Linked DNA regions of Drosophila melanogaster. The protein of the gene in region 1 interacts with the protein of each later gene in a pairwise test. Each region holds a gene or a part of one and is shown on either strand. Other genes may lie near its edges. The genes, in order: Cys, CG11007 and CG14042.

Region 1 (2,983 bases):
GTACGATGATAACCTACTGATAGATGCTGCTCTGCTCAGGGAGAAGACTTATGAGAAGTTTAATCCGAGCATTGTTAATGATCTGGAGGAGATCCTCCGCTCTCCACTGAAGCACGAGAGAAATTCTCGTCTTCGCTTTACCAGCGAGTCATCCACCACGCCACAATATTTGCACGAAGAGGAGCAAAACCTTATAAAAATTGAACCAACTTCTCCGGATCTGCGGGAAATGTTGGAGGGTCAGCAAAGAGTCATCGCTCATAGCGGCAGCACTCCTTCGTCCTCTTCATCTGCTAGAACTTCCAGACATCTGCGACAAATCACTGCCAATGGTGCACGGGCAGGCAGCAAGAGAACAACAGGTGGCGTAGCCAGCAAGACGTCGGCATCCCCGGGAGTGGTGGCCAAAAAATCGAACACTGCCACCAAGGTGAGCAGCAGCAGCTCATCCTCGTACCTCTCGTACGGGGTGGATTCCTACAATGTAAACGTACCTGCCAGTGCCAACAACGGCGATGTGGGCAGCGGATTCTTTTCCATCTCGGAGGTCGTTTCCGCAGCTGACGCCGCGGATGCGGCTGCTAAAGCGGCGGCAGCTGGTAAATCGGAGCGGAAAACTCGCAGTTTCGAGTGCGAAATGTGCTCGGCCATCTTTTATGATCGCACCCAGCTGCTGGAACATGTGCACATTCACATTTAAATGGAAGCTACCTAAACCACTCGCCCGGAGCCTTGTATTTTTGAAACATCTTATCCTTATATACAAACAAAATCGGAGTAAATTACCTCAAGGTATCGTGCATCGAAAAATATCGTTGATTTATGCGTTATTTAAAATATGGAACCTAAACCTATTATAGAGAGAATAGTTCGTAAGGCTTTTAAGTTTGTACCTCAGCTTTTGTTTTGAAGAATTGGTATGCTGGAATAAATACATCATTAAATGGTTTTTCATTACCTTAAATTTTGCTATCACGTATAGATTGAATCTGATTGATAAGATGGGCTCATGTAACCTTTTCTGATGTTTGAAATCTCTCCTAGAAATCTTAAATTTTCTTGGAAACTGCGATAGTGGCATGTAATATACTTTTTATAATTGGTTAAATGTTTATAAACTTGCACATGTGGGTCTTAATACATATCGACTGACCTTTGTAGTACATACTCATAGAAACACTGATAAGAGCATACCGGAAGTCTGTGTGTAATTTGAAGCCATGATTATATGTTTTCATATGTGGTGTACGGTGACTTGTTTTCGGCTCATTTGCACAGATTTTCAATTAAAGCCGCAACTGCTAACTGAAGTAGAGATCAAAACGATTCTCACAGAAAAGCGGCTTTCGCCCATCTGATAAATCAATTAATTACCGCCAATGAGCCGTATTAGAATATAAGTAAACGATTTCATTTGCATATGCATATTTATTAATCATGGAAATAGATTCTTATTTAAAGGGGGCGCACCTTTGAATATTGACTATAAATATTTGAATATTGACTATAAATATTTGGATAGTAGCTGCGAAAATATCAGGACACGTAGATACCGTAGTTTATGTTCTAAAAAAAAATATTTCGAATCTTAAAACTATTTTTTCACTTATTTTGCCTTTCTAAGCAATTTTCTTAAATATTGTAAACCCCGAGTGAGGTTCTGGTTATTGATAGTTCTGATGATGGGCCAGTCAAGTCTTGGATCGATGGCATAGAGAGCCTATTGTATTTTTCCATTGTTGATCTCCCACTGAGATGGCAGGTATAAAATGGGCCACATCGCCGGGTGTTCATCAGTTCTCTCAGAGTCGTCGAGCGAGCAACATGAACGTAGTAAAATCTTTGTGTATTTTGGGTCTGGTTCTCGTCAGCTTGATTGCCACCCAAGCAGCCGATGAGCAGGTGGTAGGCGGTGTCAGCCAGTTGGAGGGAAACAGCAGGAAGGAGGCTCTGGAACTTCTGGATGCCACTCTCGCACAGTTGGCCACCGGAGATGGTCCCAGCTACAAGTGAGTTAGAACTGAGTTCCGAATTTAAAATTCATACTAATTGATCTGCTGATCTTAGGGCAATCAATGTGACCTCTGTGACGGGTCAGGTCGTAGCTGGAAGTCTTAACACCTACGAGGTGGAACTTGACAATGGATCCGACAAAAAGCAGTGCACCGTGAAGATCTGGACTCAGCCATGGCTCAAGGAGAACGGCACCAACATCAAGATCAAGTGCTCTGGTGACGATGGCGAACTGGACCGCACCTGGTAGAAGATTCTTCGTGAGAATTGCCCTGAAAGAAATAATAATAAAAAAAAAAACAAGATACACGTGATTTAAAAAATGATTTTTGATTAATTTTCGGGGAACTATTGTTGCAAAGTATCCAATATATTGTTGGGAAAAATAATAGGAGTGTATAAATACTTGATTTGCTTTGTTTACGTTCCGTGCTAACCAATTCCCATCGCTAGGCAATTACACACATACTATACATATACATATATAAGATACTATATATTTATTGAGATAACAACCATAGAAGCTTTCACTCCAACAAAAGCTCCAGAAGCTGACTCACAATCGGAACGGAACAGAGTGATATCATTTCATGTTTTGGTTTTGGTTTTGTTGAGTTTTGCTACTATCGCCGCCATGTCCAACGTTCCAATTGTAGGCGGGATCAGTCAGCTGGAGGGGAATGAGAGGAAGGAGGCTCTGGAACTCCTCGATGCCACCCTCGCACAGTTGGCCAACGGAGATGGACCCAGCTACAAGTGAGTTAAGGCTAAACTCGGTCTAGAGCTTGCCACTTATTAATTGATTTTACTCCAATTGAAGGGCACTTAATGTAACCTCTGTGACGGGTCAGGTCGTAGCTGGAAGACTCAACACCTACGAGGTGCAGCTGGACAATGGATCCGAGATAAAACAGGGCACTGTGCAGATCTGGAGTCGCGCATGGCTAAAGGAGAACGGCACCAACATCAA
Region 2 (3,744 bases), on another chromosome or scaffold:
CAGAGTGGCCCATAATTACTTCAGGACGGTGTGAATCTTGTCCCAATTGCCATGGCGAATTTAAATTTTCCGCAAATAAAACGGCCGTGTGAGACAATCGCATTATTTACCATATACAATTCACGTAAAATGCAATGGCCATTTTCATGCCGTTTCAATGAAAGTAAAGAAAAATACAAATATTAACCACAAAGGCCTTGCTCACATCTGTGGGGGGTGGTTGTGGGCGGTGTGCGGTGGGTGGTGATTGGTGTGCAGTCGCCTGTATTTATGCATTTAAATTCGTCCGTTTCTCTATACGTATGTGTGTTCATATTGAATGGATAAAAGGGATTTGCGTTTATTTCGTTCTGCGTCTGGCCTGTTGGGTTCTTATGTATATATATATATATATATCCATATACGATCTGTCTATATGGCCGATGTCTGCGGGGCCATTTCGGAACAGAACGCAACACGCCGGAAACATTTTTGTTGTGCCATTTGCATTGCCATACAATTTTGCTCAACACATTGGCAGCAACAACGGGCCCATTTGGTTTTATATTTCATAAACCGGGGGGATACGACGAAGGTTTCTGTTTTAAGCGGCAAGTCAGAACGTATAAAATACAATAAATATGTCATAAAATTGTGGGTTGTCACAAACACTTTATATACATTTGTACCGAAAACCAGTATGGGCACCTTTCTGAAACTATATATTCATTCTCTATATTTTCACTATTTTACTAGCTATTTGTATACAGCGTAAGTTCTTTATTACATTCTTTCAATTTACGCTTGTCCAGTCCATCTTAATATTTACTTGTTCTTAAACGAGCACCGGAAATGATCGTTTGAGCTGTGCTAATTGAATGAAATGTTAGACTCGGCTGGGAATTAAAAAAGAACTGCGTATTTTCGTTGACTCATTTCACATTTTTAAATATATTTGGTACCTGGTGATTAGCTACAATTTATGCAAATGCAAGATCATACAAATATTTTCTACAATGGCATCGCGACGAGAGCACGTCTGAGTTTAGAATGCAAATATTAGTGCAATTGTACGTGTCTTTGGCGGTGGCAGCTCCTCAATAAGTTAAAATAAACTATGAACTAAACGAATAACAGTTATTAGCACGTGCACGCAGAAATGAGATGGCACCAGTGGTGGACAGGACAGCCTACTGGACCTTCTTGGCCTCCTTGGGCGCAATGGGTAGTCGTTCGATGGCCTCCTTGTACAGCTGGTTAAGGCCAAAGGTGGCGCGCACATTGTCGCTGGAGAAGAAGAACTTTTGCAGTTTACCCTTGGAATCGACGCAGGGCCTGCGGTCCGTCTCCTTGCCCTGTTGGAACAGGATCACAGTTGGTAGCTGTCGGGAGAAGCTGCTGTCCGAGATGCGATACTTTTGGGCCACGTCCGGAAAGCGTCCAATGTCAATCTTGCCGAACTTCAGGTGGTCCGTGTTGTACTCGGCGGAGAGCTCAGCAAAAACGGGGGCGAAGTTCACGCAGCTGGGATTCCACACCGTGTAGAAGCAGATCAGCCAGCTGGTTCGCTTGTCCCTGGCCAATTCCTCCTCGAAGACCTGTGCGTTGCGGAAGTAGGTGATGTGCTCGGGTCCGCGATACGAGGGCTCCGGCAGCACCATGCCCACCAGGACGCATAGAAGCAGAAAGCCCAGGCCGTAGCGGAAGTCCGCGTAGGCCCACAAAATGGCGTTGGCCACTTTGGTGTAGAGGAACGACGAGGCCAAGTAGTTAATCATGGTGACACTGCCCGTTTTGCGTGACCGTATCATCACCACGATTAGCAGGAAGAACAAGATTTCCACCTCACGACTGTCCAGGTCGCATGCTTCATCCTCTCCGGCGAGAATAAATAGGCGGGTGCAGATGAACTGCGTCTTTTTGGCCAAAAGGTACGATATGGCCAGGAGTATGTTAACCCAGTAGTATGGCTTGGCCAGCAGAGCCATCTGCTTCTTCCACGTCATCTCTGCGTCCGGGGGCTGAATGCGCTGATCTGGGTCACGATTTTAATTAACAATTTCCCGAGTTTTTCTTTTCTTGCTTTTGACAGCCAATTGTTAATTTTAGCCTCGCCGTTGACTAGAAATTAGCAGCCTAGTTGTCTGGCACGGGCGTTGCCACCTGATAAAAGAACAGTGGCACTCTTGTCAGTGCTGGAAATGGTATTAGTTCGTTGGCGCCTTTTCAAATTCAAAATCATCAATTAACAGTTTGCCTTTCTTAAACGTTCTTTGATACGTTTTATTTACTTATATGCATTATTATCTTACAAGTATTTAGTATTTAGTATTTAGCATTTTTTTTAAATGATAATTAATCAAAAGTTAAAACCATAAACAGAACTTGGGACAACCATATTTGTTTGCCCGAAAACCAACCGAAACTGATAAGCGAGTTATTGTTACATCAGCATTTTGCTAAAGTCATTGAGAGATTGTTGACCTAGCACACAAAGGCCACTGCAAAAAAAAGGTAAAAAAAAGGCATCGAGGATCTTCATTATCGGCACACACGCCGAGTTCAAATCTGCGAAAAAGCTTGGCTCTCTACGTGATCTCAGACGCTCGTGGCTTCCATCAGTCGCCTTATCACCCAAATATTATTTTGGCCTTTTTTTTTGTAGTTCCTAAATTAAATGTGTTTGGAACTGTGTGAATACTGTGAGAATTTTGTACCCACTTCATAGAGCATCACCAGTATTATCGCCATCGTGGCTGACTCTCCGCGTTGTGCAAAGATTAATTTTTTTGTAGTAAACACTGTGCGCGTCACTGGACTAAACGATTTATTTTTAATCGTATTATTGAGACCAATTTACGAGGGTCATCTCCATGATCCCCATCGGATCGATCACCCACCTCTTTACTGGTTTCACTAGTAGGCCGTTCTTTGTTTATACAGCGATTATTTTATGTTCAATACACTGGCAAATAAAGTGAGCTTGCTTCTATTTATAGAATATTTTCAACTGTGTTATTAGTAACCTCCTTATCGAATCAAACAACTTTCTCGTGGCTTTATATTTAAATTCAACCAATCATTCACTTTATAGTAAAAAAAGTATTAACAAAGACACTAGAATAAGACAATAGAATAAGAATTCTAGTGTCTTTGGTAATAATATATTAAAAACAATTAACTTAAAACAAAATAAGATTTTTTCAAGTGCACTGTTTTGTACAACTTGATAGAAATGAAATAGGGAATCAATACAGAAAATATTTCGAAAATCCGAGATCATGACTAATCAAAGTCAAATCTAAGGTGTTGATGCTTTTGCACCTTGTCTGCGCCAAAACAAAAATGAAGTGAAAATTTCAGTAAACAACGTGCACTTAGGTCAGTTTTTAATAATATTATAATCACAAATGCCTTTGCCAGCATGCTATAGTGTGTTGGCAGCCGGATTAATCTGGTTTGGAATAAAGTCTCGTAAGATTGTCAGCCATTTGAGTACAGGGACACTCGTGATGGGAACGAGAGCCCTTCATCTTGGCTGCGGCTAAAAAGCAAAACTGGTCTATAGATCCAGGGCTCTGATAGCCATATCAAGTACACAAATCTACTTCCCAGCCCCATCGAAACTTCCCGTAGAGCTTGGAAACAAATAGGCTTGTGTGTGGAAATGACAAAAAAAAAGGCAAAACCAAAACAATGACAACTGCAACTGATAAGTGGCACAAAATGGCGATCACTTGCCGGCTTTATAATCGCGCTATCAAG
Region 3 (3,759 bases), on another chromosome or scaffold:
GCCAGGCGAGAGGGGATATGAGGGCGCCATTGGTTTGATCGGCCAGAAGGGTGAGCCCGGTGCTCCAGCCCCCGCTGCTCTGGACTATCTCACCGGTATCCTGATTACGCGACACAGTCAATCGGAAACGGTGCCCGCTTGCTCGGCTGGACACACGGAACTGTGGACGGGTTACTCCCTGTTGTACGTCGATGGCAATGACTATGCCCACAACCAGGACCTTGGATCCCCCGGATCCTGTGTGCCACGCTTCTCAACGCTGCCCGTACTGTCGTGTGGTCAGAATAACGTCTGCAACTACGCCTCCAGAAATGACAAGACCTTCTGGCTGACAACCAACGCCGCCATTCCGATGATGCCCGTTGAAAACATCGAGATCCGCCAGTACATCTCACGTTGCGTCGTTTGTGAGGCGCCGGCTAATGTGATCGCCGTGCACAGTCAAACGATAGAGGTGCCCGACTGTCCGAATGGCTGGGAGGGTCTCTGGATTGGCTACAGTTTCCTCATGGTGAGTATCGGAACACTTATAACGTTAGATTATAGAAGAATGATGAGAGTTTTCAAAATCCACAAGGGATGCGTTTCCGAAGTTTCCCTAGCTTTCCAGCAGATGGCGCACGTTCCAACGACACTCTTGCGCCATCTGTTGGATACTGCGTAGCGAAAGATTTGATACAATAGTTTTAATTTTCAACCTTTATTCCTAACTACTTGTGGGATTTTAAATAGTTCTTTTATAATGATGCTAATATTAACCCAACCATTTCCTATAATAGCACACTGCCGTGGGCAACGGTGGCGGTGGACAGGCGCTGCAATCGCCTGGCTCCTGTTTGGAGGACTTCCGTGCAACGCCCTTCATCGAGTGCAACGGCGCCAAGGGCACGTGCCACTTCTATGAGACGATGACAAGCTTCTGGATGTACAACCTGGAGTCCTCACAGCCGTTCGAGAGGCCACAGCAGCAGACGATCAAGGCCGGCGAGCGGCAGTCGCATGTGTCCAGGTGCCAGGTGTGCATGAAGAACTCCTCGTAGGACCTCCAATCCCAACACAGACACACCCACAGCACAGAGCATAAGTTTAATCTAAATGTAAAGCCTTAAAATTACCAACGAATCGTGTGCACACCCACACGATCACAACACAAACACAAACAAACAAACCAACACACACACACACATACATACACCGACGAACCAACACTGCTACAAATTCCTTAATCTAACCAAAAAGAAAAAAAAACGGATCCACAAGTCGAAGTGCTAATTACCGACCGACCTGGACCACAATGCCATTTTTTATCTGCCAATTAATGTTCTAAACAAATGTAAACTGCTTCTAAGTTACGTTACGTATGTTAAGTAAATGAAACAAATAAATAAACTAGCCTCGGTCGTATGTCCAAAAGTATAAAATAAACTATGTGCCAGCATGTTCCATTTATTTTTGAAACCGATTAAATGCGAAACAATGCAACAAAACGCGGTATCGAACGAATATCGAACGAATCGAATCCTCAACTGCTATACAAAACTTGTCGCATATCGTTTTAAAATAAACTAAAATTTATAAATACAAATTACGACCACAATTTCATACAAGCCTATTTAGAGCAAATATTGTTGAGGATAAAAAATCGTATGCCCTTCAGTGATAAACTTCCTGCAAGACAAATACTGCATACTTTTTACCCCTAACATTGAGTGATAAGATCTTCCTCAAAAGACCAGGGCTAAGGGTAGGCTATTGTGGTGGAAACCCCGTCGCGGAGAACCCTTAAAAAAGCAATGCCAAGCCAAGGATGAGAGCGAACTCACCTCGTGCACTTGTGCGCATGCCATTGCCTCTCTTTGTGCGGATTTGCGGTGGGGGAGGGGGTTGGTTAGCTGTCAAGGGGGTGGCGATGACGATTGGGGTCGCCGTGGACGGTTTGCGGGGCATAAAGTGGGGTGGACCGAGCCATATGATAATGATATGCAGACACACACACGCGCACAAAGTCCAATTGGTGGTTGGAAGCAGGTCGTGGAAAATAAGGGTAGGCCTTTGTGGGGCGATTCAAGTTGGAATCGTAAAAGTGAGTTGGAAAAAAAGTGCCAGAAGCCAGTGTGACTTGGACGCAAGCGGAGGCGGTCGTCGGTGGGAGTTGTAACTTCAGCCAGATAAGAGGAGCTGCTTTTTGTAGGTGTGGAGGAGCAGCAAGACGGAAAAAATGTGTGTACCTCGAAAAAAAAAACAGTGAAAATTGCGAGCTCTCGTTTGGAAAGCAGCGTGAAATTTGCATAAACTAACAAGACCACAAAGCCAACGGGAAGTGCACCACCAAAATCAGAGACTCCCAAGAAGCAGCAGTCTTCCGCCCCACCAAAAAAAAAAAAAAAAAAAAGGAAGAGGACACACCACCACCCCTACATATTTATGATTATCGTCCTGCTGCTGCTGTTCCAATCGCTGTGCCTCTACTGCCAACGCCTGGTGCTCTACGTCCACGACCGATGCTTCCCGAGGAACGTGCGCCTGCTGCAGGAGGTGGCCGAAACGGTGGGCGATCGTAAGGCGCCACAGCGCCTGGCGGAGCAGCAGCTGGAGCAACAGAAGCGCAGCCAGAAGCGTCGCATCCTCGAACCAATCCTTCCGCTCGTTGGTGGCCTCAATTCCGAGGCCTGTCGATTTTGTGCTCACAGTCCGCAGGGCTACTGTCGCCATCACTTCCATCTGCAGGAGCTGCAGCTGCACAGGCAGAGGGGTTCCGGTGGTGAGCAGGATTTCCGGCAGATTCGCCGAATCAAGCGGGAGCTAAAGCGGACTCTTGGCCAGCAGCAGCAGCAACTGCAACCGACGAGAAGCTATCGTCCAGTCCGACTGAGTGCCAGCTGGAGCAGCAGTTCCCTGAGCAGTGGTTACGCTTCACTGACCAGCGTTGGATCGCAGGAGCAGGAGGAGGCGTCCTTCGATCAGGATATTATTGAGGACGTTCCACTGGAGGAGGAAGCGGAGCTGCAGGACCTGCCGCAGGAGGATATCCAACAGCCCCTACTAACCACTTACTTGTAGATAAACGCCTCTTGGTCTCATCCTTGCATAAAGAATCATCCACTTGGAGTTCGTCTGGAGAACTGAAGAACCCTTCATAAAAACTATGCTATAAAGATGTATTGAAAAAAATTGTATAACATAGTTAACCACCAGAGAAACGAAAGAACAAACAACTACGAGCTAAAGACGCCACCCCTGAAGCCGCTCCTTGAACGATTTCAACAACTTTTGAGACCTGGAGAAGCTCATCAACCCCAGGAAGCCAACCCTATTGAAAACTTAACCCCCCCCCCCCCTCCCAACAGTTCGAAGGGTTCCCTTTGTCAAATTGATACAAATTGAGAAGCGAAAAAATTTCTAGTCGCAACACAATGTCTGATGTTGAAGTGGATCCACAGCAGGCTCACCCCCATCCCATAGCGGCAATTGCCCCGAGGAGACGTCGTCCAACCGGTCGACGAGGAGGAGTAACAGGAGGGTTGTCGTCCGGTTCACTGGATGCATCATCTTCCACATCGCCGCCACCCCGTTTCTGTCCGCTGCCCAATGGCGTTGAGGATAACTGGACGTGGAGCAAGCGGCACCGCTCCAAGGAAGTGGTGCTCAGAGGACCCAACTCGCGGACCGTGCACTTCCATCCCAACTGGAGCAAGGGCACTGCCGGTGTCCAGGGCAAAAGATCCCTGAATAACGGACGGCATTACTGGGAGCTTCATG

The links.
Region 2: the proteins of Cys (region 1) and CG11007 interact in a two-hybrid assay, tested with the Drosophila melanogaster proteins (one large-scale study listed by BioGRID).
Region 3: the proteins of Cys (region 1) and CG14042 interact in a two-hybrid assay, tested with the Drosophila melanogaster proteins (one large-scale study listed by BioGRID).

Annotation. Positions count from the first base shown.
Region 1 is NT_033777.3:14,568,450-14,571,432, reverse strand, and holds Cys (Cystatin-like), read left to right. Parts: upstream 1-1,788; 5' UTR 1,789-1,824; coding exon 1,825-2,009; exon of another isoform or gene 2,010-2,067; coding exon 2,068-2,263; 3' UTR 2,264-2,330; downstream 2,331-2,983. Other genes in the region: CG7987 (uncharacterized protein), read left to right, coding at 1-700; CG8066 (uncharacterized protein), read left to right, coding at 2,648-2,769, 2,834-2,983.
Region 2 is NT_033778.4:19,501,429-19,505,172, reverse strand, and holds CG11007 (uncharacterized protein), read right to left. Parts: upstream 2,106-3,744; 5' UTR 1,986-2,105; coding exon 1,170-1,985; 3' UTR 579-1,169; downstream 1-578.
Region 3 is NT_033779.5:5,035,698-5,039,456, forward strand, and holds the start of CG14042 (uncharacterized protein), read left to right. Parts: upstream 1-2,011; 5' UTR 2,012-2,424; coding exon 2,425-3,060; 3' UTR 3,061-3,413; coding exon of another isoform or gene 3,414-3,759. Other genes in the region: Col4a1 (collagen type IV alpha 1), read left to right, coding at 1-511, 780-1,040; SP555, read left to right, coding at 3,414-3,759.